Linked DNA regions of Macaca mulatta. The protein of the gene in region 4 purifies or fractionates together with the protein of the main gene of each other region. This does not show direct contact. Links are inferred from orthologs where the notes say so. Each region holds a gene or a part of one and is shown on either strand. Other genes may lie near its edges. The genes, in order: HIPK2, PPP2CA, GSK3A, AXIN1, AMER1, DVL1 and LRP5.

What was found.
Region 1: the proteins of AXIN1 (region 4) and HIPK2 purify together in Homo sapiens (affinity purification with western blotting; 3 studies listed by BioGRID). This does not show direct contact. The link is inferred for Macaca mulatta from reciprocal best matches to the Homo sapiens genes AXIN1 and HIPK2.
Region 2: the proteins of AXIN1 (region 4) and PPP2CA purify together in Homo sapiens (affinity purification with western blotting; 4 studies listed by BioGRID and IntAct, with this or other methods). This does not show direct contact. The link is inferred for Macaca mulatta from reciprocal best matches to the Homo sapiens genes AXIN1 and PPP2CA.
Region 3: the proteins of AXIN1 (region 4) and GSK3A purify together in Homo sapiens (affinity purification with mass spectrometry; 12 studies listed by BioGRID and IntAct, with this or other methods). This does not show direct contact. The link is inferred for Macaca mulatta from reciprocal best matches to the Homo sapiens genes AXIN1 and GSK3A.
Region 5: the proteins of AXIN1 (region 4) and AMER1 purify together in Homo sapiens (affinity purification with mass spectrometry; 4 studies listed by BioGRID and IntAct, with this or other methods). This does not show direct contact. The link is inferred for Macaca mulatta from reciprocal best matches to the Homo sapiens genes AXIN1 and AMER1.
Region 6: the proteins of AXIN1 (region 4) and DVL1 purify together in Homo sapiens (affinity purification with western blotting; 3 studies listed by BioGRID). This does not show direct contact. The link is inferred for Macaca mulatta from reciprocal best matches to the Homo sapiens genes AXIN1 and DVL1.
Region 7: the proteins of AXIN1 (region 4) and LRP5 purify together in Homo sapiens (affinity purification with western blotting; 3 studies listed by BioGRID). This does not show direct contact. The link is inferred for Macaca mulatta from reciprocal best matches to the Homo sapiens genes AXIN1 and LRP5.

The regions. Positions count from the first base shown.
Region 1 is NC_133408.1:179,611,713-179,615,780, forward strand, and holds the start of HIPK2 (homeodomain-interacting protein kinase 2), read right to left. Parts: upstream 2,801-4,068; 5' UTR 2,431-2,800; coding exon 2,412-2,430; intron 2,050-2,411; exon of another isoform or gene 1,866-2,049; intron 1-1,865.
Region 2 is NC_133411.1:143,102,164-143,104,929, forward strand, and holds part of PPP2CA (serine/threonine-protein phosphatase 2A catalytic subunit alpha isoform), read right to left. Parts: intron 2,021-2,766; coding exon 1,931-2,020; intron 1,445-1,930; coding exon 1,283-1,444; intron 148-1,282; coding exon 29-147; intron 1-28. UniProt on the Homo sapiens protein: Catalytic subunit of protein phosphatase 2A (PP2A), a serine/threonine phosphatase involved in the regulation of a wide variety of enzymes, signal transduction pathways, and cellular events.
Region 3 is NC_133424.1:53,291,604-53,295,103, forward strand, and holds part of GSK3A (glycogen synthase kinase-3 alpha), read right to left. Parts: intron 319-3,500; coding exon 235-318; intron 79-234; coding exon 1-78. UniProt on the Homo sapiens protein: Constitutively active protein kinase that acts as a negative regulator in the hormonal control of glucose homeostasis, Wnt signaling and regulation of transcription factors and microtubules, by phosphorylating and inactivating glycogen synthase (GYS1 or GYS2), CTNNB1/beta-catenin, APC and AXIN1.
Region 4 is NC_133425.1:1,567,056-1,571,325, forward strand, and holds the start of AXIN1 (axin-1), read right to left. Parts: upstream 2,801-4,270; 5' UTR 2,526-2,800; intron 2,410-2,525; exon of another isoform or gene 2,118-2,409; intron 2,065-2,117; exon of another isoform or gene 1,917-2,064; intron 1,889-1,916; 5' UTR 1,887-1,888; coding exon 1,809-1,886; intron 1-1,808. UniProt on the Homo sapiens protein: Component of the beta-catenin destruction complex required for regulating CTNNB1 levels through phosphorylation and ubiquitination, and modulating Wnt-signaling.
Region 5 is NC_133426.1:70,579,698-70,583,724, forward strand, and holds the start of AMER1 (APC membrane recruitment protein 1), read right to left. Parts: upstream 2,801-4,027; 5' UTR 2,630-2,800; intron 2,150-2,629; exon of another isoform or gene 1,921-2,149; intron 1-1,920. UniProt on the Homo sapiens protein: Regulator of the canonical Wnt signaling pathway.
Region 6 is NC_133406.1:239,336,955-239,341,074, reverse strand, and holds the start of DVL1 (segment polarity protein dishevelled homolog DVL-1), read right to left. Parts: upstream 2,801-4,120; 5' UTR 1,294-2,800; coding exon 1,093-1,293; exon of another isoform or gene 762-1,092; coding exon of another isoform or gene 702-761; coding exon 592-701; intron 1-591. Other genes in the region: MXRA8 (matrix remodeling-associated protein 8), read right to left, coding at 3,387-3,601, 4,079-4,120. UniProt on the Homo sapiens protein: Participates in Wnt signaling by binding to the cytoplasmic C-terminus of frizzled family members and transducing the Wnt signal to down-stream effectors. Plays a role both in canonical and non-canonical Wnt signaling.
Region 7 is NC_133419.1:6,178,531-6,182,030, forward strand, and holds part of LRP5 (low-density lipoprotein receptor-related protein 5), read right to left. Parts: intron 2,594-3,500; coding exon 2,496-2,593; intron 236-2,495; coding exon 1-235. UniProt on the Homo sapiens protein: Acts as a coreceptor with members of the frizzled family of seven-transmembrane spanning receptors to transduce signal by Wnt proteins.

The DNA.
Region 1 (4,068 bases), on a different chromosome or scaffold from region 4:
CTGCTCATTTAGCGTGCACACAGGGAGTCCATGTGTTCTGATTGAGATAGGGGAAAAATCAGGTTTCCTGAACCCAGCGGATGTTACCATGGCGGGAGAAAGGAGGTCATCAGAGTCTTGGCACAATCATCAGTGAGTGAATGCGGGTCCTAGCAACCTAATCCTTGATTCTAGAGGTCACCTGTTGTAGAGCATATCCAACAATCTCTTTCAAAAACACCCAGGCCTGGGCTTTTGGCAGAGTGATGTGGGTTGGTTGAAGTGGGATAGGGAAGAACATTAGAAAAATAATTATAAAGGTGCACAGAGAAACATCCGGAATAAAAGGGTGCACAGCGCGGGAAGAATGAAGAAGGCACATGGATAAGATGGAGGGAAACCGAGGGCTGAAAGAGGCCACCACGGAGGTCACCTGAGAAAGGGAAGGAAGGCTGGCAAATAAAAACAGTTCATGAGACTTTTGAGATCCATGATTATTCTTAAACCGTAACACCCTACACACCTGCAATTCTTTATCTGGCGTAAGGAACTGGAAGAACAATGTAGCAGGAATGGGGAGAGCCAAGTCTCAGCCTCGGGGGCATGGCCTACATTCCACATGGATTTAGAATGAAAGGAGCAGGAGGAGAACAGTGCAGTTCCCAAGATGGCTTTCCACAAAGTTGACAAAATACACCCCAACTCACATACCCGGTCCCTAGTAACAGGGAAACCAGCCGTTTACTATAGTTCTGAATTCAATGCCAAGTTCCTTCTCGCAACTCACCAGGAGTGTCCAGCAGAGGGAGTCTCAAGGAGGTACTTAATAAAGAGAAAATTGTTTCATTTTAACACTCTAGACAGTGGGAGCATTGACTGTAGCCCCCTCCTGTAGACGCAGATGAACAATGAACGCCCGACATGGGTTCTCCCGCATGTTCACATGTCCACCGGCATGTTCTATTCTGCGTGGTGGAGTGATCAGAAATTTCGTTTTGTTTTGTTGAATGGTTAAATGGACCTTGTGTTCTTCAGAATCAAAGAGGAAAGCCCCTGGAATAACATCTCTCTGTTGCCTTCTAAACAGCCCCTTTGTTTCTAAGAGAGTCTGAAAAAAAATATTTACAGTCCATAGGTTATTTACAGCCTCGTTATCCAGCGCCTGACTGGTAACTTTATTCAGGCCAGAAACCTAATTCATTTGGAGCCCTGAATCTAATAACAGATTTTCTTTTCAGATAAGTTTTTTTTTTTTTTTTTTTTTTTTAAAATCAGCCTCTTATAACAGAGATAAAACTATTAACGCCTTCCCTGTCTCACTGGCCACAACTGTTCTCCGGATTTACAGGCGGATTACATTCCCCCCTCGTGCCCTCCTCTGTGCCACACAAACCCTGTCCCCTCTCATTTGCGATTTCATCCACAGAATATCTGAACAAAACCGAAAGAAAGCCAGGGGGACCCACACTAAAAGTATGTGAAGGCTGCGAATTCAATGATTTCATGAGACAAACATTTACACGATGAAACGACTGAAAAATCAGACACACTTGGGTTTAAAATTTCTCCTACTACAAGCACACAAAAACACATCGAAGTGTAAAAACTTAGTTGATTCTGGGTTGCTTTCTGGCTGGAAGCTGACAGAACGGACTGAAGAGAAACGAAAGACAGTGTGCGAGGCAGACCTACTGCTTTTCTGCCTTGCATTCTTTTCTTTCTTGCTAAAGGCAAATGGGGAAAAATACCCCGACGCCAGGTGAAGGTGCACAACACAGGTCGACCCAGACCGAGCCAGGAAAACGTATCCGCCGCTCCCCCGGCTGGAAAACCCAAAGTCCACGTCCCCTTCCACACGCTAATGCGGGGAGATTTTCGCCTATTTCATTGTTCTGCTTGGCTCTGACACGGACTTTTCATCTCTCTCCCCACCTAGCCCCGTGCATTCCGATTCCACAGCCCCCCCAAAATCGGAGGCTCGCGGAGAATAAAGGAGCGTGGGGTGGGCGCGGAGAGAAATGGGAAGGGGCGCGGGGCGGAGAGCGAAGTGGAAAGGAGGTGCTCCGAAAGGTAATGTGGGGGGGCGGTGGAAGCTGAGCCGCATCACCTTCATTTATCGCAAATAAATAAAAAGCACAGTCACCGGTCCGCCTTCCCCGGCGCCCCTGCCCTCCGCGGGCAGCCGCCCACCCTCGCACACGCCCCCTCCCCTCCTGCGCCCCCGGTCCCTCTCCCCGCCCTGGAAGCAGGACCCTGCCGGCGCCGGGTCCCGGTCATCTTCCGGGCGAGGGAGGGGGTCGCGGCCCCCTCGGCCCCGGGTGGGGGCTGGGGCGGGCGCCGGGGGCTGCGGGCGCGGGGCCGCGGGCAGAACAAAGCTGCGGGGGCCGCGGCGGGCGGCGGGCGCGGGGTCGGCGGGGCCGGGCGCCCCTTACCTTCGTACACGGGGGCCATCGGGGCCGGGGTGTCCGCGGTTCATGGCAACGGGGACGGGAAAGCGGCGCGCGAGCTCGGCCCCCCCAGCCTCAGTCGGAATCTGCCATCTTGAGCCTGTGTCTCCGCTCTCGGCGCAGCCGAGGCCGCCCGCGCCCGCATCACCGCCTCCCGTGGCCGGCGCCGGGGGAGGGGGCCGGGCGCGCCGCCGCCGCCGCCGCCGCTGCCGCCCGGGCCCGGCGCGGGGGGCTCGGGGCTCGGGGCTCGGGGCGGCCGGGCGGGCGGAGCGGCCGAGGCCGAGGCGCCGAGCGGCCGCGGCCCCCGAGCGGGTCCGCGGAGGGGCGGGAGCCGGGGGCAGCGCGCGGCCAGGGCCGGCGGGGCTCAGCTCAGCATGGCTGGGCGCGGGGGCTCCGCAAAAGTTGCTGGCGGAGGGGGGCGGCGGGCGGGGGCGGGGCGCGGGGCCGGGAGAGCCACAGGGAGTCCGCGCGCAATCGAGCGCCGATGGCACGGATGCGAGGCGGGGAAGGCCGAGCCGAAGGGCAGAGCCGCGCCGGCGGCCCGAGGGGACCGCGCCGGGAGGGGCTGCCGCGCAGCGCGGGGGGACAGGGCGCGGGGCGGGCCCGGGGTAGCGGGTGAGAGGGCCGGCCTGGACTCGGCGGGCGCAGGGCTCCAAGCCCAGCGCAGCCGAGCCGGTCCGCAGAGGGGCCCCCAGAACTTTGTGTGTGTGTGTGTGTGCGTGTGTGCACGCGCGTGTGTGTGTGCCCAGGTGCGAGGGTGCGCGCGTGTGCTGGCGGGGAGGGAACCGACCCGAAAGAGAGCCCCAGGCTGGCAAAGTGGCTCGCCCATCTCACAGCCGGTTGGCGCTCGCGGAGTTAGGAGTGGAATGAATGAATGAAGGAGTGGGCGCGCGCCGTGCTCCCGGGGAGGGAGGGTGAGTGGAGGAGCTTCGGAAAGCTACGCGAGGTCAGAGGCACCGAAGCCCTACCGTGCACGCCGCGGAAATGCAGCCCCCGGGGTGGTCGCTGGGTTCCTGCCGGAGTCTGGCTTCGACGTCACCCTGATCTTCGCCTCCTCGCGTCTACACTGTCCCGAGGGTCCCCCCTCCATCACTGAATGGGCGCTCACAGCTGTCTGGGTCCTCGCTTTTCACAGCGCTCTCTCCTATCAGGGCTTTCGCTAAACACTCTCCAAACTCTCCCCAGCCCGGAGCCTCTTCAGGTTTGCTTCTCCAGCTGCCTCCCGGATGCTTGGATAGGATGCCCTACCATCCCCTCCAACTTAGGAAGACTTGTTGAGTCTCCTCTTAGGCACAGTTTTTAAAACCGTGGGTCGTGATACAGTAATAGATCATAAAATAAATGCAGCAGAAGGCAACCGGCTTTCAAAAAGAATGAAATGGAATCCAATAGAAAATATTAGAGTCCATTGCCCTTAGTAAGGGCAACTATTGTTTCATAAACCTTTTGTTTCGATTATAGGTACTGGACAAGTGTACTAGACCATGATGTCAATTTTATTTCCGACTGTAAATCGTGGGTTTAGAAAAGTTGAAAAGCTGTCTTTTTAAGGTGTAAAATAATGATCTCTAACACTGTATGACATTCTTAAAAACAACCCCGTGATTTTCTCACTACTTCTTATCCTTTCCGGTCTCCATCT
Region 2 (2,766 bases), on a different chromosome or scaffold from region 4:
AATAAAATGTTCAAGTAGAAATACTTACAAAGAGTATTTTAGAGTATCGTCAAGTTCCATGATTGCAGCTTGGTTACCACAACGATAACAATAGTTTGGAGCACTGAAAATTGTTACTACATTTCGGTCATGGCACCAGTTATATCCCTACAAGGAAAAGGAGGCAAAAATCTTACTTTACTCCCTCAATTCAACTAAATGCTACTTCACTCAAGAGAGAAAAAAATCTCTACTCATTCCCACCCCTGCCAAAGGGGCTTAAGAAATGTTAATACTTTTTTTCTGGTTGACTTAATAATTTGCTGTACTTCATACAACCTGTAAGATACATACGTATTTGTTTTCCCCCTAATTACAAAATTTGCTTTTAGTACTAAAAAGAAAAAAAAAAAGCCTTTAACAAACAGTGGCGACCACCGAAGAATGAACTGCTTCTCATGTATCTGCCTTGCTGTAAATGATGGTGTCTCATTAGCCTCTTCTATTGCAGTGGTCTTAAAACATGATTTAAGAATGAGTATTTAAGTGGCCATTCCCTAGAGAAGTAGATACCTAATCCTGGAGATCAGAACCTTACCAATTTCGTCAGTTACAGGTAAAGGCCTGTAAGTCATTCACTGCCCAGGAACAAATGTGATATGCCTCTAGGATCTCCAGCCTTGTTTCCTCAAAATCCATCCATCTGAATGCATGAGCTACTTTTGTTACTTTTTGTTTAGTATTGTTCACAAATTTATTTATCTTTAGCAAAGTCAGATTTTATTGATAACCACAGAGTTGTACTAGTATTAATCTAATTAGCACCTTATTTTAGAAACATGCTAATCAGTGTGCATGTCAAGAACCTTTGCCTCTTTCCCTTCTCTTCTTTCAAATTACCTGTAATCCTACCATCCAAAGGACCACTTAGAACATTTTGGTGTATTTCTTTCCAGTCTCTCCTACATACATACATGTTAAATATATGAAATGACATTGGGATCATAAAATATTATATACACACCCCAACTCCCTACATCTTACTTTCCCACTCTTAGATCCCAAGTACTTCCTAGTCATTCAGATTTCTCTGGAAACATGTTAATGGATTCATTGTAATCAACAACTTGAGCTTTTAATTCTAGTAGTGTGCATCTACTGAAAAGGCTCAGGCTATAATGGTAAACTCATCAGAAGGAATAGATGGAATTTCTCACAAATGTCATTAATTTAAAACTCCCTAATATCTTCTCTCCTTAAGTTTACTAAAAAACAAGTCATATTTCAAATAATAGAAGCATACCTCCATCACTAGCTGGTGAGCTCTTGACACCAACGTGAGGCCATTGGCATGATTAAATGTCTCTGAAATATCTTGCCCAAAGGTGTAACCAGCTCCTCGAGGAGATATTCCCCAACCACCACGGTCATCTGGATCTGACCACAGCAAGTCACACATTGGACCCTAAAAAATAACTTCGTTATAAAATGCCTTTTACAAACATGGTTAACACATTATTTGAGTAATTCATCAGAAGCAGCACCCTAAGTCACCCTCTTTGAGTGATGTTTGTGGACAACGCTAGTAGATTATGCAGTTGAAGTCAAACATCTGCATCAAGTAATATGTATTTTCCAGTAGACTTTATGAGACACAGCTGACATCCATGGGACCCAGCAGTAACATGCCTTAATTAATCTGCCTATATTATGCAAATTTCAGAGTCTAAGACAGACAACCTAGGTCCTAATAAGCCCAGCTCTACAGCTGCTGTGATCTTGGCAGGTTTCTTAATGTCAGCTTCTTCTGAACAATAGGGCAGACAAGAGTGTTCACACCTCAAGTTGTTTTTGAGAATTATAAGAGAGAATACATCTAATGATCTTATAATTAAACCTCTCCACTCTTTAATAAGTTTTCTGGAAAGATTTTATCAAATAAAAGTCATACCTCATGGGGAACTTCTTGTAGGCGATCAAGTGCTCTGATATGATCCAGTGTATCTATAGATGGCGAGAGACCACCATGTAGACAGAAGATCTGAAAAGAGTGGTTTAAAAGGTTAACCTCACCTAAAAAATTTGTAAACATTCTTGGCTGGGCACAGTGGCTCATGCCTGTAACCCCAGCACTTGGGGAAGCTGAGGCAGGAGGACTGTTTGAGGCCAGGAGTTTGAGACCAGCCTGAGCAACACAGCAACACCCTGTGTCTCTATAAAAATTTTTAAAAAATGAGCTGGACGCCCCCATCACTTGGCCCCTCTGGTGTTTCTGTGCTCTGCCTGAATGAGGCCTGACTTTGCAGGATTCAGCTTTGCTCCAGCCCACTCTAAACGATTGAGTACACTCCCATTCTTCCTAATAGAACATCACTGTCACACCCAGACTCCACCTCAAACAGCTCCTTTGAGAAAACTTTTTGGATATCACTCCTGCCCCCTGCCAGAGACTAGTATCTCCATGCTCATAAAATTTTATTATAAGTTCTTTTGTGTGCACAATAATTAGTTCCTTACATCTCCCAGACTTGTCCAAAAACAGTCTGAGAGAATAAATGGGCTACATCATCCACCCCTGTGATCCCATCATATAGTTCAGTGCCTGATATAAAGAATAATGCACTTTAAAAAGCTGGACACATTTGTCAAATTAATTTTTTAAAATTTGAATGAATGCTATCAATATCTACTAAAAAATATCCCTAAAGGGGTATAACAGTGGAAAGAGTCAGGAGCACCTGAACATTAAAGGAAGTTGATTCTCTGAAATAATCAGCAATGAGTTTT
Region 3 (3,500 bases), on a different chromosome or scaffold from region 4:
CTTGGTGAAGTGGCGGGCCACCCGGTACACTGTCTCGGGCACATATTCCAGCACCAGATTTAGGTAAAGCTCATCTTTCTGCAGGGAGCAAAGGAGAGGCGTGAGGCACTGTGAGAAGAGTGAGGAAGGGGGAAGGAAGGTGTGCAGGCAGCAGTGGGGGAAAGGCAGGTGGGCAAGAAAATGGCTGGAGTCGAGGTGGAGCAACCCACCACCACCACCACCTCGAGGTCTCACCTTCTCCCCACTGGAGTAGAAAAAGTATCTCAGCCTCACAATATTGCAGTGGTCCAGCTTACGCATGATCTGCAGCTCTCGGTTCTTGAGGGCAAAGGGAGAGAGTCTCAGTATACGACCAACTCTCTCGGCTGCCCCTCCCTACTCACTCCCCACAACAGCCAGGCAGCTACTCCCTGTGTCCCAGCTTCAAGGTCCCCTAGGGTATCCCCCAATTCCTTGTCTCCAGACTACTCTCCTCCCACACGAGCTGGAAGCCTACCGGTTAAACCCAGGCCACAGATATGTTTTCTTCACCCCAATTTTTTTTTTTCTTTGAGACAGAGTCTTGCTCTGTTGCCAGGCTGGCATGCCGTGGCTCGATATCGGCTCACTGCAACCTCTGCCTCCCTGGTTCAAGCGATTCTCCTGCCTCGGCCTTCCAAGTAGCTGGGATTACAGGCATGCGCCACCACGCCCAGCTAATTTTTGTATTTTTAGTAGAGATGGGGTTTCACCACGGTGGCCTGGATGGCCTCGATCTCCTGACCTCGTGATCCACCCACCTCAGCCTCCCAAAGTGCTGGGATTACAGGCATGAGGCACCGCGCCAAGCCACCCTACTTTAAAAATAAAAAATAGGCCGGGCGCGGTGGCTCAAGCCTGTAATCCCAGCACTTTGGGAGGCCGAGACGGGCGGATCACAAGGTCAGGAGATCGAGACCAGCCTGGCTAATACGGTGAAACCCCGTCTCTACTAAAAAATACAAAAAAAACTAGCCGGGTGAGGTGGCGGGCGCCTGTAGTCCCAGCTACTCGGGAGGCTGAGGCAGGAGAATGGCGTAGACCCGGGAGGCGGAGCTTGCAGTGAGCTGAGATGCGGCCACTGCACTCCAGCCTGGGCGACAGAGCGACACTCCATCTCAAAAAATAAAAATAAAAATAAAAAATAAAAAAAATTCAACTTATTGCTGAAATGTAAAAATCAAATGACACCTTCTGATTTTTTTCTCCAAAAGAAAGTTTTAAGAAGGATAAGCCGGGGCTGGGCACAGTGGCTCACGCCTGTAATCTCAGCACTTCGGGAGGCTGAGGCGGGCGGATCACGAGGTCAGGAGATCGAGACCATCCTGGTTAACACGGTGAAACCCTGTCTCTACTAAAAATACAAAAAAAATTAGCCAGGCATGGTGGCGGGCGCCTGTAGTCCCAGCTACTCGGGAGGCTGAGGCAGGAGAATGGCGTGAACCTAGGAGGCGGAGCTTGCAGTGAACAGAGATCGCTCCAGCCTGGGCAACAGAGACTCCGTCTCAAAATAATAATAATAAATAAAATTAAAAGGATAATATAAAATTTATTTATTTTTTTTTAAAGAACCTGGCTATGGGCCGGGCGCAGTGGCTCAAGCCTGTAATCCCAGCACTTTGGGAGGCCGAGATGGGCGGATCACGAGGTCAGGAGATCGAGACCATCCTAGCTAACCCGGTGAAACCCCGTCTCTACTAAAAAATACAAAAAAATAGCCGGGCGAGGTGGCGGGCGCCTGTAGTCCCAGCTACTCGGGAAGCTGAGGCAGGAGAATGGCGTGAACCCGGGAGGCGGAGCTTGCAGTGAGCTGAGATCCGGCCACTGCACTCTAGCCTGGGGGACAGAGCCAGACTTCGTCTCAAAAAAAAAAAAAAAAAAAAAAAAAAAGAACCTGGCTATGTTAGCCAGGATGGTTTTGAACTCCTGGCCTCAAGCAATCCTCCTGCCTCAGCCAATCAGTTTAAGGATTACAGGAGTCAGCTACTACACCCAGCCTTAAAATAAAAATAAATAAATAAATAAATAAAAACAGCTGGGCTCACACCTGTAATCCCAGCACTTTGGGAGGCCAAGGCAGGGGAATCACTTGAGGCCAGGAGTTTGAGACCAACCTGGTCAACATGGCAAAACCCTATCTCTACTAAAAATACAAAAAAATTAGCTGGGCATGATGGCGCATGCCTGTAATTGCAACTACTTAGGTGGATGAGGTATGAGAATTGCTTGAACCCAGGAGGCAGAGGTTGCAGTGAGCCGAGATCACACCACTGCACTCCAGCCTTGGTGACAGAACAAGATTCTGACTTTAAAAAAAAAAAAAAAAAAAAAAAAGAGACCATCCTGGCTAACATGGTGAAACCCCATCTCTACTAGAAATACAAAAAAATTAGCCGATAGTGGTGGCACGCGCCTGTAGTCCCAGCTACTTGGGAGGCTGAGGTAGAAGAATCGCTTGAACCCAGGAGGCGGAGGTTGCAGTGACCCGAGATCGTGCCACCACGCTCCAGTCTGGGTGACAGCACAAGACTCCGTCTCAAAAAAAAGAAAAAAAAAAGATTGCACATCTAAATCCAGTTTTTAGTTTGTCTTGAAAACTCAGGGCTGGGCACAGTGGCTCATGCCTACAATCTCAGCACTTTGGGAGGTCGAGGCAGGGGCAGATTACTTGAGGTCAGGAGTTCAACACCAGCCTGGCCAACATGGCAAAACCCTGTCTCTACTAAAAATAAAAAATTTAAAAAAAAATTAGCCGGGCGTAGTGGCCCACGCCTGCAATCCCAGCTACTCAGGTGGCTGAGGCACGAGAATCGCTTAAACCTGGGAGGCAGAGGTTGCAGCAGGCCAAGATCGTGCCACTGCACTCCAGCCTGGGCGACAGAGTAAGACTCCATCTCAAAAAAAAAAAAAGAAAAACAAAAAATCAGGTGTGGGCATGTGAGGCTTGCCCCCTACCTAGCACAAGCAACAACAGACAGGTGGTGGCCATCCAGCTCACCCTGGTCCCATGGAAGCATCTGGATCCTTGAACTCTATCTAGGATCCTGAGTCCCAGACTCCAGGCATCGGACTCTTCCCAGAATGTGGTCTCATCATTCTTACCCATTCTCTATTCCTCTGTGAGGCCTAGGAACTCCCTGCCCCCACATCCCTCTCACTTCTGGAACTCAACTCCAATCAAATTCTGAAACCCTAGAGCTCCTCCTGCCCAAGGGCCCTCCCTGCCAAGACCCAGGCCCTGGTCTGGTTCCTTTCCAGTCTAGGCTCAGTTCTCCTACATCCAGACTAGCCTAAGCTCCAAATGCCAGGCCCTTAAACACTAATTATTCCTCAACTTCCACTTCCTCCACCTCCTTCTAGCTCCCTGAGCTTCTCCTAGCTCACGGGCACCTCCATTCCATCCTGCACTGGCCAAACACCTGGGGAGAGCGCGACCTTCCGAACCCCCTGCGCTAGCTCTTCCAGGTCCCTTTCTCTTCTGG
Region 4 (4,270 bases):
AAAAAAGACAGACATTTGTCACAGATGCCAAACACTGGCTCTCTACAGATGCTGAACTACTGTACTACAGAAAACAGCAGCAAATTCTTCCAAAACTAATGGGTTTTATTGTTTTGGTTTTTTTTGTTATTTTGAGACAGGGTCTCGCTCTGTCGCCCAGGCTGGAGTGCAGTGGGGCGAGTTCAGCTGACTGCAGCCTCAGCTTCCCAGGCTCAAGCAACTCTCCAGCCTCAGCCTCTCATATGGCGGGGACTACAAGCAGGAGCCACCAACGCCCGGCTAATTCTTGTATTTTTTGTAGAGATGGGGTTTCACCATGTTGGGCAGGCTGGTCTCAAACTCTTGAGCTCAAAGCAATCTGCCCATCTCGGCCTCCCAAAGTGTTGGGATTACAGGCCACCTTGCCTGGCCCCAAAACTAATGTTTTAATTCATGTGTGAACCAAGTCCACCTTAATTATTTTAAACTATTTTTCAGAGCCCAGGAGAAAATTTTTTTATAATCATGTGTATTTTGGGCTGTCAACTGACAGAAGACTTTTTGGTGTCCCTGGAAGCACATGAACCCCTCCACAAGTTACTGATGTTGTTAAAACATATCCCAATTCCTGAAATCTCTGGGTTTCCACATGGAAGCACACCAAGCATTTAGTGTACACACACGTAGACACCACACATAAAGCAGTTATGTTTACTCAGGTTAGCATCAAATGCCCGCAAGCACTGAATCTGGCCCACAGCCTGTAGCTACCATCAATAAAGTGAGTCCATAAAATGGGCAGGATGCCTACAAGTCTGATATCGTATTTAAAATTCCCTTTCATCACTGCTTAGGCATATGCCCCAGGCACCATGGCAGCAAACTCAGTGCTACCTACGTGTGTAGGTATTTATTTTACCCAAACTTAACTTTTGAAATTTTGATTTACATGGAGGATGCAAGTAAAACAGCACGACTCTGACATCTTCCCAGCTGTCCACTGATTTAACTCTTGAAGGTTCAGGGCTACTATTTCACATGTAATTTGTTCCCCCATCACTGAAATTCTCAGTGACTAATGTAATCCGAAAAAGTCTGCTTAGCTTTTCTGAAACTAGAAATCCAAGTCAACACCAGCTGAAAATCAAACAAAAACACTGTTTTTCATGCTTTCCCATCCTTGTCCCCGAATGGAGATCTTAAAACTGAAACTGAGGCCAGGTGTGGTGGCTGACCCTTGTAATCCCAGCACTTTGGGAGGCCGAGGTGGGCGGATCACCTGAGGTCAGGAGTTTGAGACCAGCCTGACCCACATGGAGAAACCCCAACTCTACTAAAAATACAAAATTAGTCAGGTTTGGTGGCACATGCCTATAATCCCAGCTACTTGGGAAGGCTGAAGCAGGAGAATCGCTTGAACCTGGGAGGCGGAGATTGCGGTGAGCAGAGATCGCACTATTGCACTGCACCCTTTATCAATTATCTTAGAAGGGGCCAGGCACGGTGGCTCACACCTGTAATCCCAACACTTTGGTAGGCCGAGGTGGGCGGATCACCTGAGGTCAGGAGTTCCAGGCCAGCCTGGTCAATACGGTGAAACCCCGTCTCTACTAAAAATAGAAAAATTAGCCGGGCGTGGTGGCGCATGCCTGTAATCCCAGCTACTCAGGAGGCTGAGGCAGGAAAACTGCTTGAACCCAGGAGGTGGAAGTTGCAGTGAGCCAAGATCGCGCCACTGCACTCCCAGCCTGGGCGACAGTGCGAGACTCCGTCTCAAAAAAAAAAAATTATCTTAGAGGGGGCGGTGGTCACGCATGTAGTCCCAGCACCTTGGCAGGTTGAGGCAGGTGGATCGCTTGAGGCCAAGAGTTCAACAACACTTGCTGGGCAATATAGTGACACCTCATCTCTACAAAAAAAAAAAAAAAAAAAATTACCTTATAGATGGGCTGAGAAAAATCCCTAGAGAACTGACATGTTTTTCTCTACTTTCTTCAATGCCAAGCCGAAAGTTTCACTGCTCAGGCAATGCAGCTCTGGTTTCACTGGGGGCTAAATTCCAAAGTGCCGGGCGGGAGGTAGAATCTAGGAACCACACCCAAGAGAGAGACGAGTGTTTGGGCAGCGAGGCATCAAACCTGGAGGGCACGAACGCCTGAGCACGCGGCTACTCAGGCCGCACCGCGACCTGGACCCGGTACGCGGCCTCGGCGAGGGCGGGCGGGAGTGCCCTCCTCCGGGGCAGCCGGACTCCTGCCGACTTCTGGGAGGCGGGGAGGGCTCCAGGCCCGGCTCTCCCGGAGTTCCCGCACGCGATGCGCGGCCCCTGCAGCTGCTCCGCGCCCCCAGACGCGCCCGAGGCCTCGGAACTCCAAGCGGCCCCCGCGCCGCCGGTCTCGCTGCCCAGGGACACCCCTGCCCCAGCTCCCCGCGCGCCCACCCCCTCGGCCCCACGCGCGTCAGCCACCCGCGCCCCCCGCCGCTTCCGGGTCCCGCCCGCCCGGCCTAGCGCGGCCTAGCCCGCCCCGGCGCCCGGCCCTACTCACCCGCGCGCGGAGGCGGCGGGGCCCCGGGCCCGGCTCCCGGAGCGGCGCGGCGCAGCCCGGCCCATGCGCTCAGCGGCAGCGCGGCGGGCGGGACTCGGCGGGGGCGCGGCCCGGGGCGGCCCCCATCTCGGCGGCTGCGGCTCGGCGGCCCGGGGGCGGACGCGGGGCAGGCCGCGGGGGCGCCGCAGGGGCCCAGCCGCCAGCTCCCACCCGCCCGCTCCGCGTGGACGCGGCTCCGGGTCGACTCCGGCCGGCTCTGGCGGCGGCAGCGGCCACGATTGCCTCCGGAGCCGGAGCCCGAGCCCAGAGCGCCGAAGCCCAGGCCCGAGCGCCCCCGCCGGCGGCGCCCGGAAGTGCGGGGGCGGGGCCGGGGCGCGGGGACGAGGTGAGAGCGCGGGGCGGGGCCTCAGCTCGGGGCGGGGCCGACAGCGAGGGGACGAGGTAAAGAGCGTGGGGCGGGGCTTCAGGCGCGGGGCGTGGCTGAAAGCGCGAGGATAAGGTGAGGAGCGTGGGGCGGGGCAGACAGCGATTGGACAGGTGAGGAGCGCAGGGCGGGGCCCAAGCACGGGCGGGGCCGGAAGCGAGAAGACGAGGTGAAGAGCGCAGGGCGGGGCCTTGGGAGTGGGGCTGCGGCCAGGGAGCAAGGCGGGGCCCGCCTCGAGCCGAAGAGGTAACGAGCGTGGGGCGGAGCCTCGTGCGCGGGGCGGGGCCGGAAGCGAGGACGAGGTGAGAAGCATGGGGCAGGGCCTCTGCGTGAGCGGGAGAGGGGTGTGGTCAGCCCCTGCCGGGGGCGGGGCGCGGCGGGGGCGTGGTCGCGCGGTCTTCCCGAGGGGCGACGCGGAAGCAGAGCCGCGGCGGCTGCGGCTTCCCGGAGTGCGGAGTGGGGGAGGCGCCGCTGCAGGTGCTTGGAATGGCTGCGACCGTGGGGAGCGCTGGGCGGACTGCCCGCCCCGACGGGCGCACGCGGGGCGCAGCCCTTTTCTGCCGCCAGTACATCGGTGGGCATCCAGGGGGCTGCAGGCCTCGGGGCTCCCTGCCCCGCCGGCCCTGGACCGGAGGCCCCCGCGGAGACCGCCACGGCCTGCCAGCCGCCGTGAGGGAAGCAGGCTCCCAGGAGTTGGGTGGTCGGCAGGCAGGGATGGCCAGGTCCCTTGGAAGGTGGCGTGGGCTCCACCCTCCTGAGTCCCCAGGCAGCCGGGACTCACAGCGCCAGGGAACACATTAGGCCCCAATATGTGCTGGCTGTCACCCGGACAGGAGCCACAACCTCCAAGGAGCCCACCGGCTAGGACCCTCTGCCTTGATTTCTCCCAGGCACCATCTAGTATCAGAGAAGGGTTCTCCTTCCCTCCGCTGCCCAGGCCAGCCTGAGAGGAAGGCCATTGGAGTGTCTGAAACCCTGCAGCCCCTCCCCTGGGCTGTCTCCACAGCGGCCCTGCCAAGGGGTGCAGTCCAATCCTGCCATCTTGGCTGCCCAGATCCGTGCCACCTGCCCTGCAGGCCACAGAGCACAAGGCCACAGCCCCAGGCATCCCACAGCAGAGAGGCACAGGACCCCAGCAGCAGCCCCCACACCAGCTCTGGCCAGCCCAACCCTGTCAGAACCAACCCTCTGCTCTCCACCCAGGCCTCAGCCGACCATCAGGCCCTGCCTCCCCCAAGGAGGAGGATGTCAGTACCAGGATCAGCCCTGTCCTTCCCAGAGCACTGTTGGGCCTGACACCTCCCAGGACGCCCCAGGCAGC
Region 5 (4,027 bases), on a different chromosome or scaffold from region 4:
AAGGCACCAAGGAAAAGGTAGGCCCAGAACTGGGGTCTGAGAAGGAAGAAGATTTGGACAGGTGTAGGCTGAGTGGGTTTGGGTGTGGGCAAGGGAGTTACATAGAGCAGATACATTAGGTGCCTGTTGGCCTAAGACAAGGCAGAGGGCAGGTCCAGCCCTGGGCTAGAGATGCCCAGCTGCAAGTAGAGGTTTGTGTTGGGGCCTAATCAAGGTGGGAGGAGGTGGCTGTAGTGTGATATCTGTGGTCCTGGCTCCTGTCATAAAGATCCAGAGCTAGCCTTCCTCCAAGTGAGGAATTTACTGGGTCTCATTGCCCCTCCTCAAAGTGCCCAAGCTTTGCTTGGGCCCTGCAGCCCACATGACTCTCCACACCAGAGATTAATCAAAGGTCCAAGAAGAGCCTACCAAGTCCCTCAGTGGCTTTCTCTGTCCTATTCCTCAAAAAGGCCTAGAGAGCCCACTGCCAGAGGTGCACCATGGTGCAGTGACTGTGCAGTGGGTGGGGCCGAATGAGGGGAGCCGCACTGGGGGAGGGGGCTCTGCTGGAATCCTGGTGGGGCAGGCAGTCCAACAGTGCAGTGCCCTCCGCCTTGCCCATGCCCACGCCGCTGCAGCAGGCAGGCAGGCAGAGCCGCAGAGAGAGGTATTTGTGCGTTGAACAAGGCTCGCCTTGACCCCGCAGCCCTTGCCAAGAGGAGCCTGGCCAAACGGAGACCAGCTCTGAGGGACCAGTCCAGCTGCTGCCTAGGCGCTTGGGCTGTGACGCATGTAGCCGGCGCAGCCCCTCACCACTGGGGGAGCCAAGCAAAGTCCAGCGTTCGGGCGGTCACCAGTGTCAGAAGTGTCTCCAGGAGACAATGACAGTGGCCTAGAGAGCTGGGTATGTTAAGTAACTGCGAAGTTGGAGGGGTTAGCCACCTCGATAGCTCTCCTGTACACACAGAGACGGTATGATACGTTCCGTACTACAATGAGGGCTCCTTCGGCCTCAGGCAAGGAAATGCCCCCAAAACACCGTGCCTATCGCTATTTTTAAACGGGAGGCTGGAGAGAAAAACGCGGCCAGTATCCTCCAAGGGAAACGGAGGTGAGGCGAGGCGGGAGACAAAGCGGCCTTGCAGCTCTAACTCAAGGACTAGCTTGCGCCGCTGCTCTAACCCAAGGACCAGCAAGAGCCCGGCTGCCAGCCAGCCTGCCCGACCGCGGGGGCGGGCGCCAGATGCGCCGGGAGGCCCAGGAGGAGGGGCGCGGCTAGTTGGGGCCGCAAGGCCAAGGTTCTGAAGGGAAGTGTGCGACTGAGCTCAGCCCACAGGCCCCACTGAGCTCCTCTGGGGAGGGGGCAGTCTGTGGATGTCCTAATCCACGCCAAAGCCGGTTTCCGTCGGGCCCAAGCCAGCACGCCAGCTTGAGTCCGCAGAAAGGAGGGAGAGGCTGGAGATGCACAGGGGAGGGGAGGGGCGGCAGCCAGGCAGCCAGGGTGAGGGGTGAGCGGTACCCGCGTTACACAGCTGTTCCAGCAAATGTGCTAAAACAAAGCTGCAGAGCTCCCGGCCTACAAATGCATGGCTTGGGGTGCTGGCTGGCGGCGCCCTTCCCGGGACTGTGCGGCAGCACGTGCGGGCCCATCCCCGCCCCCCCGAAAGCCGGGAGGCATGGCCCAGGCTAGCCTGCCTTCCTACCCTCCCTCCCCAACCTCCCCCCTCTCCCCAGCCGTGGTCGCTTGTGCCCAGGGGACTCAAGGCCGCTCGGCCTCTCCACCGGACACTCCGCAAACCGGGTTCCAAAGGAGAAGGGCGAGCGACCGGGACTCCGACCCGCCCAGTCCTTAGCGCCCTTCTCCAGTTCGTAGGAGCAGAGCACGCGGGAATGCACCCGACCGCGGGCAGGCGGAGGCTCCTGGCTGTACGCAACGCTTACCCGGCCGGGTCAGGTTCCTAGCCTGGTTATTGTCCGCTGAGCCGCCCTGGGCCGGGCTGCAGCCTCGGCTGCCGCGGCTGAGAGCGCCGCCACCGCAGCTGCTGCCGCCGCCGCCGCGGCTCCAGTCACCTCCAGCACTGACTCCCCTTCCCCAGGCTTTGGGAAGCTCCCCCATACCCCCTCCCCCAGTACTCCAAGGCCACCGGGTGGGGCATCTGCGTCTTGATTGGCAGGCGTATGGTCCAATCGCTATGGTGGGAAGGCGTGCCCCGGCCCGCCCACTGTTTTCCTTGGTGCGTTTCTCTTTAAATGCAAATAAGTGCAGGCGTGGTGTTGGCAGGGGGCGGAGAGGGTGCGGAACCACTGGCTGGGGCTCCCCACTCCCGCCCCCATGCCGGGCTGGTAGTGGCGTGGCTGCACCGTGGCTTCAAGGAGCCGGTCCTGCCCGGATGGGGCTCGCCGGATCCCTGGAGCTCGGTTTCGGTTTTCACGCACTGCCATTTCCGTGGCCGCTGTGCATTCGCGTGTGCCCTGGACGCCAGCAGGCCGTTTATTCCTGAGCTAGAGGCCGGCGGGGAGTAACGAGGCAGAGAGGTTGAGGAACCTGGGGAGACTGCAGAAACCCTTAGCACCTCCGCCGGCCCTTCCTTAGTCGTAGAGACAAGGCCCTGCGGATCGCGCCGCCAGGCCACCCAGAGGAGGGACTCACCTGCCAGGAAAGCCAGCTGCAGCGCCTGCGCCCTAACTTCCTCCGCCTCTCTGGCACACCGGTGCCCCTAAGACCATAGAGGCCAACTTCCACCCGTTACCGACGGGCCCTCTGCTGCCCCGAGTAGGGAAAGCCCCTCCCCACAGTTACCCAGCCGGCCTGCGACATGGGCCAATTTGGAATACAGAGCCCCGGGCTCCCCTTCCAGGATTGCTTTCACTTTTCTTCTCTGAGATGATACCTGTTTTCCATAGATTGACCCTCACCCAAATTTCCCACCTTCTATGGAATGTGGAGGGAATCCCCAAGGTCTTCAGAGTCCCCCTTCCCCCTATCCTTTGTGAGCCTGGCTTTGTGCAGGCCTTTTTTCCTGAAAAGTCTAAATATCGAGAGGAAAATCTTGTCTGGGCCCAAACCGGAGGTCAGGCTGAGGACAAAATGAGGAGGCCTGTACCAGCCTTGTCTGCTACTGTGTGTGGGATGTGGCAGGGAGCCAGCCGAACTTGGGTCTCTAGCCTAAGGACATTAAGTGGCATCAGTGGCTGCCAGGGCCAGGTGAGCGGAGGCAACAAAGAATCTAGTTCCACCTCTAGTTCAAGAATATCCAGAAGGCCCAGCCCTAAAACTCTGTGCGTGTCTAAAAAGGGAGGTGGGTGGATTAAAGTTGAGGATAGAGAGAAGGATTAGAGAACAATGCGTGCTATTTTTGCATTGCAGGAGTGTTCTCTGCTGCTTCTGGGTCCTGACAGTCTTGAAAAGATCCAGCTGCTGAACTGGTAAGAGGTGGACTTCTGCCTCTGCATGTGTAGAGCACAGGAACTGACATGGCTGCTAGGGATCTGACTCTAGCTCTACCTCAGACTTGCTGGACACCTTGGCCAATTAGTTTTTTTTTTTCTCTGGGCCAGTCCATCACCCCGCCTCCACAAGGAGAGGGTAAGCATCATCAGGCTCTCTTGATATCTTTGAGATCTGAGAGTTCAACTCATTTTTTTTCTATAGTATTCCATGACCTTCCACGGAATATTATAGGAAATATAGATGTTCCATGACCTTCCATGACATTCTATACATTGCCAACAAAAATCAATATTGAACATCAGACTCCCTTCCTAGTACCGAGTCTAAATAAATGGTGAGGAGTAGGGAGCTGCTGCTGGCTCATTATGTAACTTTTTTTCCCATCTGAATGGCTGGACTATAAAAGTTTCCCTGGGGCTATGCTTTCCTGCTTTGCAAAGTCCTGATTCTCATTTGTAGGCCTGATTTGGAAGTTTATTTTGTTTTCCAGAATCTCCATTATAGACTTCCTCCCTACCTCGTGCCTCTGGTCACTGCCACTTGCTCGCATTTCACTCAGAACCTTGATTCTCTGAATTAGACCAAGATTATGATTTG
Region 6 (4,120 bases), on a different chromosome or scaffold from region 4:
TCTGAGCTGCTCTGGGAACGCAAGTGCTTTGTGACTCAGTGGGGACCGGGCAGACAGGGAGCTCAGAGCAGGGGTGGGCGAATAAAGTTTCAAGGCCACCAGTGGCCCTTGACCTCCGCCCTGTCACAGGGACCCCGAAGAAGGGGGCCAGGAGAACCTCTCTTGAGCCCTGGGGAGCTTCTGCAAACCCTAGCAGACAGGTTGGTGAACCTGTCCCCCCACGTCTCCCCATCCCAGCTAGGAAACCCCACCCTGCTCCCTTCTCACTGACACACACACCCCTGACCCCAGCCCACACCAACGGCAGGCGCTCCCGGCCAGCCCCAATGGAAGGGATGCCGCCGACCGAGTCCGACCCGGGCCAAGGCAGGACTCTGGACCGGGAGGCTGGGAGCAGGGACGCCGGGACCCCAGCCTGCCATCGCCCCACACCACAGACAGGTGGGCACGCGCCGCACGCGGGCCGAGGCCGCCACCCGCATCGCACCTGGCGGAGGCCTGGACCGCCCAGGACCCCCGCCCCGTCCCCGCGCTGGCAGATGCGACCCCCGAGCGCGCGCCAGGCTCGCGCAGGCCCCGTGGCCGACTGACCCGAAGTCCTGGTCCATGGACTTAAAGAAGAATTTGTAGGCGTGCACGGGCCGGTTGCTGAGCACGTTCTTGAAGTCGGCTAGCGTGACGCGCTCGGGGGCCACGGGCAGCTTGACCAGGTACGGCGTCTCCTCCTCGTCCATGTGGTAGATGATCTTGGTCTCCGCCATGGCGCGGCGGCGGCGCGGAGCCCGCGCACTCAGGGCCCGGCCCGGGGCTGGGACGCGGGGCGCTCCCCGCCCGCCCGCCTGCGCCCCACCCGGCCCGCGCCGCTCCCGGCCCCGCCGCGCCGAGGCCCCCGGGCGCCCCCGCTTGACCGCCCAGGCCCCGGCCGCCGCCCCCGGCTCCCGCGCGCGTCTCGACTGCTGCCCCGCGGCCCGCGGCCGCCCATCCGCCCCCGGCCCGGGAGCGGCGCGAGGGACGCAGCACGGAGGGCGCGCTCAGCCCCGCCGCCCTCCCGCCTGCGCCCCTCGGGCCGCGCAGTTAAAGGGACCGCCAGGCCCGCGGCCCTGAGCGTGGCCGCGGGGGGGCGCCCGAGCGCGCGGCGATGACGTCACGGGAGCGCGCGGCGGGGGGCGGAGCGTCGCTGCGCAGGCGCAGGCGCAGACGCAGGCGATCCTCGCTCGCCCCGCCCCGGGCCCCCCCCCGCGCTTGGGCTCGCTTTCCCCTGTGCTCGGGCGCCCGCGACACTCGCCGGTGCATCCCCGCGCGGCCTGGCTCTGGGCCCGTGGACGCCAGGGTGCTCGGGGTGGGTGGAGGGACCTCGGGGACGCCGGGTGCGCGGCGCTGAGGTGGCGGCCGGTCCCTCTGCGCCCCCGCGAAGGCGCCCGACTCGCATGCCCTCTGCCGGGTCCCACGGGGTCCGACGCAGGCCGAGGGGATGCGGGGCGCGCGTGGGCGCGGGCGTGCACGGAGGCGTCGGAGCGCGCGGCGGCGGGAGGGATTTCGTCCTGGGGTCCTCCGCAGGGCAGGGGAGACTTCCGAGCCTTCCCCTGAGGCCGCGGGGCGTCCGCGCTCGCTCCTCCGGGGCCCGCGGGGCTGGAGGCCTTCCCAGCCTGACCCCAGCAGGAAGCGCGGAGGCCACTAGAGGGCGGCCCAGGATGGGGAGAGTGAGGCGGGAGCCTGGACGGGGCTGGCGCGGTGGGGCCCCTTGGGCCCCGTCCCCAGGAAGCCGGCAGGAGTCTGGGACTTTCGCATCTATCCGGCCCTGACGATGCCCGCGCCGGCTCAGAGAGAAACCCATCAGTGTAGGTGCCGGTGGTTGACGGTCGGCTTGGGCCTGGGGTCCTGAACCTGCACCCCGGCTCTGAGTGGGAGAGCTGTGGCGTCCGCTCAGCCAAGCCCGGCCAGCTCAGCCGCCAGCCTCTGCCTGGAGCCTGGGCCACCTTCCCACCAGCCCTTGTTTTCCCCAGAGGTCGGAAGCCAGGCAGGAAGACCCCCGAGGGGCTATCTGTTGAGGCCCCAGGGAGGGAGGAAGCCCGTACCTGCCCTGAGGGCCAGACCCATGTTCCCCAGGCTAGACACAGGTGGCCCCAGAGCAGGGGAGGTGGCCCCAGAGCAGGGGAGGAACCACACAGGTGCAGGGGCCTGACCCCAGCCCGTCTCAAGAGAGGCTGGAAGCCAGAGGCCTGAGGCCAGTCCAGGTGCTGATGCCTATGTGGTCTGGTTGGGGCCCTGCCAGGAGCAGCCTTGTCCAGTGATGGTGAGGCCGGAGGCCAGAAGGGGGTGCATTTTCAAGCCACACCTCCCCAGACCAGCCTCCCTTCCTCCCAACCTGTGCTGCTGTGGGATCCTTGTGGGCAACCATCACCCTTTCCCACCCCCACTCCTGGGAGGACAGGAGGATGGGGTTGGGTGGTGATGCCGGCTTCAAGAAGCAGCACTTAGTCGCTGGTCTGTGCTGCCAGGAGCCCAGGCCACTGGCCTTCCTGATCCCGCCACTCGTCCCACCACCCAAACTTGTGCTGAGATCCTGTGCCCGGCACTGATGCCTGAGTGGGAAAGGATTCTAGGGCCAGATCCGTGCTGGCCTGGCGAGGACTCTCTTGGAGCCACCCTGCTGCCCCGGGCTGTCTCTGCCGGAGCCTCCTTGCTCCTGCCCCCTTTGCAAGTGTCTGACTCGTATCCCGCTACTTCCGCTTGCCATCCGTCTGCCTCTCCCGGAGCTCCACGGTCTCCTCTCTGTCCTCAGCCACCGCCACGTCCCCCTTCCCCACATCCAGGTCAGCCATCAAAGGAATATGAACTCCTCCACGACCAGAAGCATGCCACACAGAACTAACTCAAATGACCCCTTCCCAGGACACCAACTCCCAGAGGACCCAGACCCAGACCTTTCAGCCCAAGGAATGGGATGATGTCAGGGGCTTCAGGTGGAGATGAAGACGACGTGGGGATTCCCAGGCCCAGACTCGTACTTTGCCCACCCCTAGGAGATGGAGTTTCAGAAGCATACCTGGGCCAAGTCTAAAAATCAGATGGGGCTTTTATTGTGATGGTGGCAGGTCCACCAGCAGGTGCAAATGTGGGGTGCTGAGAGTGGCAACATAGGCCACCCCAAGCCACCTTCACCCCCTCCCCTGTTCTCAGCCAGTACAGAAGCCAAATGTGGCCCCAGCCGTAGACTCTAGCCTAGGCAGAGTCCAAGGGAGGGGTGTCAGGGTCAGAAGTCACAGGGAGCCCAGTGACTGTCAAGGTGGCTGAGAGCAAGGCTAGGGTAGGGGTGGAAGCAGAGAAACGGCGGGGGGTGCAGCCCCAGGTGGCCCAAAGCAGCAGAGAGGGGCAAGGGCTGGCATTCACCAAGTCACCAGGTCCCTGGGGAGAACAGATGGTGCCTGGAGTCCTGCATGGTACGCGGAGGAGCCCTGGGGAGCTCTCGACGGTGGGCAGCACCCCAGGAGGAGTGGGACTCCTGCCCTGAGGCTGACCCCAGTTTTGGGGCTGCCAGGTTCTGATGGGAGTGTCTTCCAGGAATGTCTTCCAGCCCCCAGTGGGCAGAGCCCAGGAGGGTCTGAGGGCATGCTGGGCATCAGTGGGATTTTGGTTGTGTCTGGGCTGAGCAGGGCCACCCGTGAGCAAAGGCCGAAGGGGTGGGGGCTGTGCTGCCACTTCTGCATATGCCCAGACCAAATTCCAGGAAAGCGGGACCAGCCGCTGGAAGGGGGTGAGCCCGGGAGCACCAGGTGATGCCCCGAGGGGCACAGACAGGAAAGATGCAGCTGCTGGCCCAGCCAGGAGCCCAGGGTCCCCCTATTTGCAGTACTCCTTCCGGAACCCTGGAAGCCAAGGGCGCCAACGGGTCGGCGTCTGTTCTCCACCCTCATCACAGTGGGAGACGCAGGGCAGACCCCCAGCAGGACTCCCCAGGGACTTCGGAGCCTGAGGTGGCAGGGGCCCTGGGCCTGGCTGGTGTCTGCCCTTGGGGGTCCCGGATGAGGTGGAATGGGGATGGGCAGGGCTCTGAGATGGGCTGAGGTAGCCCACTCACCTTTGTCTAGGTCGATGTACTTGGCAGGGAGGGGACTGTGGG
Region 7 (3,500 bases), on a different chromosome or scaffold from region 4:
AGGGGGCGGGAAGAGGTGGAAGTAGCTCCTCTCGGTGGCGGGCGAGGGCGGGCAGCTGTCCTCTGCCGACAGGTACTGGCTGTGGGGCGTGGGTGGGGGCGGGTAGGGGTCTGAGTCCGAGTTCAAATCCAGGTAGTACTTGCTGGCCTTCCAGCGGCTGGCGCTGTAGTCACTGTCACACACGTCGGTGCTGCAGGGTGTCGTGGGAGGCGCCATTCCTCGAATGATGTAGGGCCTGAAAGGGACACACACAGAGGATTGGGATTTGGTAGGCACATCCGTCCTGGTGGGCACAGCAGCCTTGAGGCTGTGAACTTCGGGAAAGGCCTGTCCACTGGCCAGCTCCAGAAAATGCAGGCCTGACTCGGGACCCACCCCGCTGTGTGGCCGGGGCTCATCACTTACGCTCTCAGCTCACCCTCAACAGCCCCACCTCTACCATGGGCATGCCCGCACCTGCCCTGCAGCCTGCCAAGCCTGGGTCCTGGCAAGGCTGCCTCTGCGGAGAACGAGGCCTCCAGAGCCTGCTAGCTGACCTTGGCCAGGAACTGTCTTGACCTCTCTGAGCTTTAGTTTCTCATTAATAAAAGTGAGGGATTAAATAGTACCCATTTCAAAAGTGAAAGATACATGAGATTCTGCCTGGAAAGTGCTAGAAACAGTGCCTGACAAAACAGGAAACTGGACAACTGTTCCCCTAACATTGTTACTGTGTTGGCAAGGGATATGGTTTGGCTGCGTCCCCACCCAAACCTCACCTTGGATTGTACTCCCATAATCCCCACGTGTTGTGGGAGGGACCCAGCGGGAGGCCACTGAATCACGGGGGTGGTTCCCTCGTACTGTTCTCGTGTCAGTGAATAAATCTCACTAGACTTGATGGTTTGATAAGGGGAAACCCCTTTCACTTGGTTCTCATGCTCTCTCTTCCCTGAGTCCATGTAAGATGTGACTTGCTCCTCCTTGCCTTCTACCATGATTGTGAGGCCTCCCCAGCCGTGTGGAACTGTGAGTCCATTAAACCTCTTTCCTTTATAGTTACCCAGTCTCAGGTATTATTAGCAGCGTGAGAACAGGCTAACACAGCAACCAGTGGGCCTGGAATGCTCCCATCCTGAGTTCAAGCAACCTGACTCGCGAGATGGCTCCTGACCTCCCATCCTCCCAGAGGCTGCCTGCACCCAACTGCGGCCCAGAAACACCACATCCCACTGTGTGAGTCCAGACTCGGAACCGTGGTGTGTTTAGGAGCCCCTGTCCTGTCACAGAGGGGCTTGCAATGGGTGGGAAGGTGCAGCCAACACCTCGTGTTGAGAAAAGTGCAGCAGGCTACCCCTCCTGGGGCCCAGCTACTGCGAGGTCAGGCGGTGGGGAGGGACTGTGTCTCCGCGGTGGGGCCCAGAGCAGGACGCCATGAGCAAAGGCAGGAGGTGGGACAGGGGCCTGGTGAGACTGGCCTGCCCAGTGTGGATGTGACCATTCTGGAGACAGTGGTCCGTAAGGCTGCTGGGACAGACTATGACAGTTTGATATAATACTGAGGCATCAGGGAGGTGGCCAGACCCAGAGGGGTATGGAAATGGAGGCCGCAGTTCCGGCTCCCCAGCCAGGCCTGGGAGTTCGTGGAAATGGCCACTAGGTGGCAGGCGGCACCACACTCAGGAGGCCCTGCTGCTCCAGGGACCCAAGCAACGAGGCACGTGTGGCCCTGAGGTGGCCTGGCCCAGGCCCAACCCATCCCACCCCATCACCCCTGGGGGTGGGGCCTGGTGCAGCTGGCAGGTGGGCCTTGTTGGCTAACACCACTGGGTTAAAGGTCAGGAGGCTCACCCTGCCCATCCCAGGCTCTGATCCAGCCCCTGCGGAAAACAGCACACCTGGGTCCCACTTCTCCACACTCTCAGTTGCCCCTCCCCAAGCAGGGAGGTGGGGCCTGTGACCCCAACATGGGGAGCTCGGGGGCTGGTGTCTGGCTGAACAGCCCCGCTGGCTTCCCGGGCTCAAACAGGCCACTGTGGCAAGTGAGCTGCCCGGATCATCCTGGTGACATCACACGATTAGGGGTCCACAGTGGGTGCTGCAGCAGCCTTCACAGACTTGTCCCGTCCTAAGAGGACTGAGCCACGAAGAGGGGGCATCTCAATGGCTAGGGTTCCACAGCCGGCCTCACACATACAGTTGCACCCTGGAGCCCAAGTCCCCGGCCCCTCGACTCCACAGCCATCTCCCGGCTTAAAGGTAACCCCCACAGGAGCAAGCTGAAGAGCAGCTCAGAACACGGGGCTCTACTGGTTTCTGAACCCAACACGCAGTCCCCGCTGGGTGCATCTGGGGAGGCAGCCTAGTAGGATCGGCAGAGCAGAGGGAGGCAGGGCTGGGCCCAGCACCTGCCCACTAGACCCCAGAACCCCTCACCAGTGGCATGGGGATAAGGCACCTCTACCATGGGCTGGTGAGAACCCAACGGCCATGGAGGGCTGCGGGGGACGTCCTACCTGTACGGTCTCGCGGTGGCCGGAATGTTTGAAGAGTAGAACATGTCCATGTTGTACAGGGAGGGGTCCGTGGCCGGGGAGGGCGGCGGGTTCAGGATCTGAGGAGAGCCAAGCCAGGGTGACCCAGAGCCTCGCCAGCCTGGGCCTTTCTTCCTTCCTCCCACACCTCTTGGGCTTTCCTTGCAGGGAGGGCTTCTGGACCCCTGCTTCCCAGGACCCCTTCCTCTGGCCAGCTGGCGAAACTTGGGGATGGGAGGGTAGGCAGCAGCCACCTGCCCCGAAGGTCGTCTCGGTGAGAGGCAAAAGGAACCCCGTGCCCTTCCGAGTGCCTGCCTTGTGACCAGATGCTGGGCTGTGAAGGCAGGGACGGGACTTCGATCAGTCCCCTTTGTGGCCAGGCCCCAGCAGGCGGAGATGTCCCCACAGGCCCTGAGTGTCCCCCACACCAGTGAGCACCTCACCAGGCTCCTCAGGGACCTTCCCAGGAACCCTCCTTCTGACCTTTCCTCCTGCCCCTCCTCTCTCCATCACGCACAGTCTAACTCCTGCAATGACAACCTTGTTCCGAACACTCAGGGGCTCTGTGTCCCTGCTGCAGCCCTGACCCACACACGGAGGTCGCCACACTAAGGGAGGAGCCGCGGCCCCACTCCAAAGGCACCCCCTTCACAAGCGCCTGTGCTGGCACCAGCCCCAAAGCTGAGATAGTAAATAGACAAATTCACCATGTAAACCTGCCCTCCAGGGCCGGGCAGCACACAACCAGCCCTACAAAGGGATGAAGGGACCCCGGGCCCACACACCCACACAGGTCTGCACCTTCCACAAGTGCCACTGACGGCACCCCAACCCAACATGCAGCTTCCCAAAGGGTGCAGGGCTTAGATGGGTCTCCAAGGCCATCCTGGAAAGGATACAGCCAGGTCTGAGCTCCTGCGGAGTAATGGGAAGGGAACTGTCAGTTATGCCCGGAGGGACTCAGTTCTCCTAGGCCCCCTAGGGCGG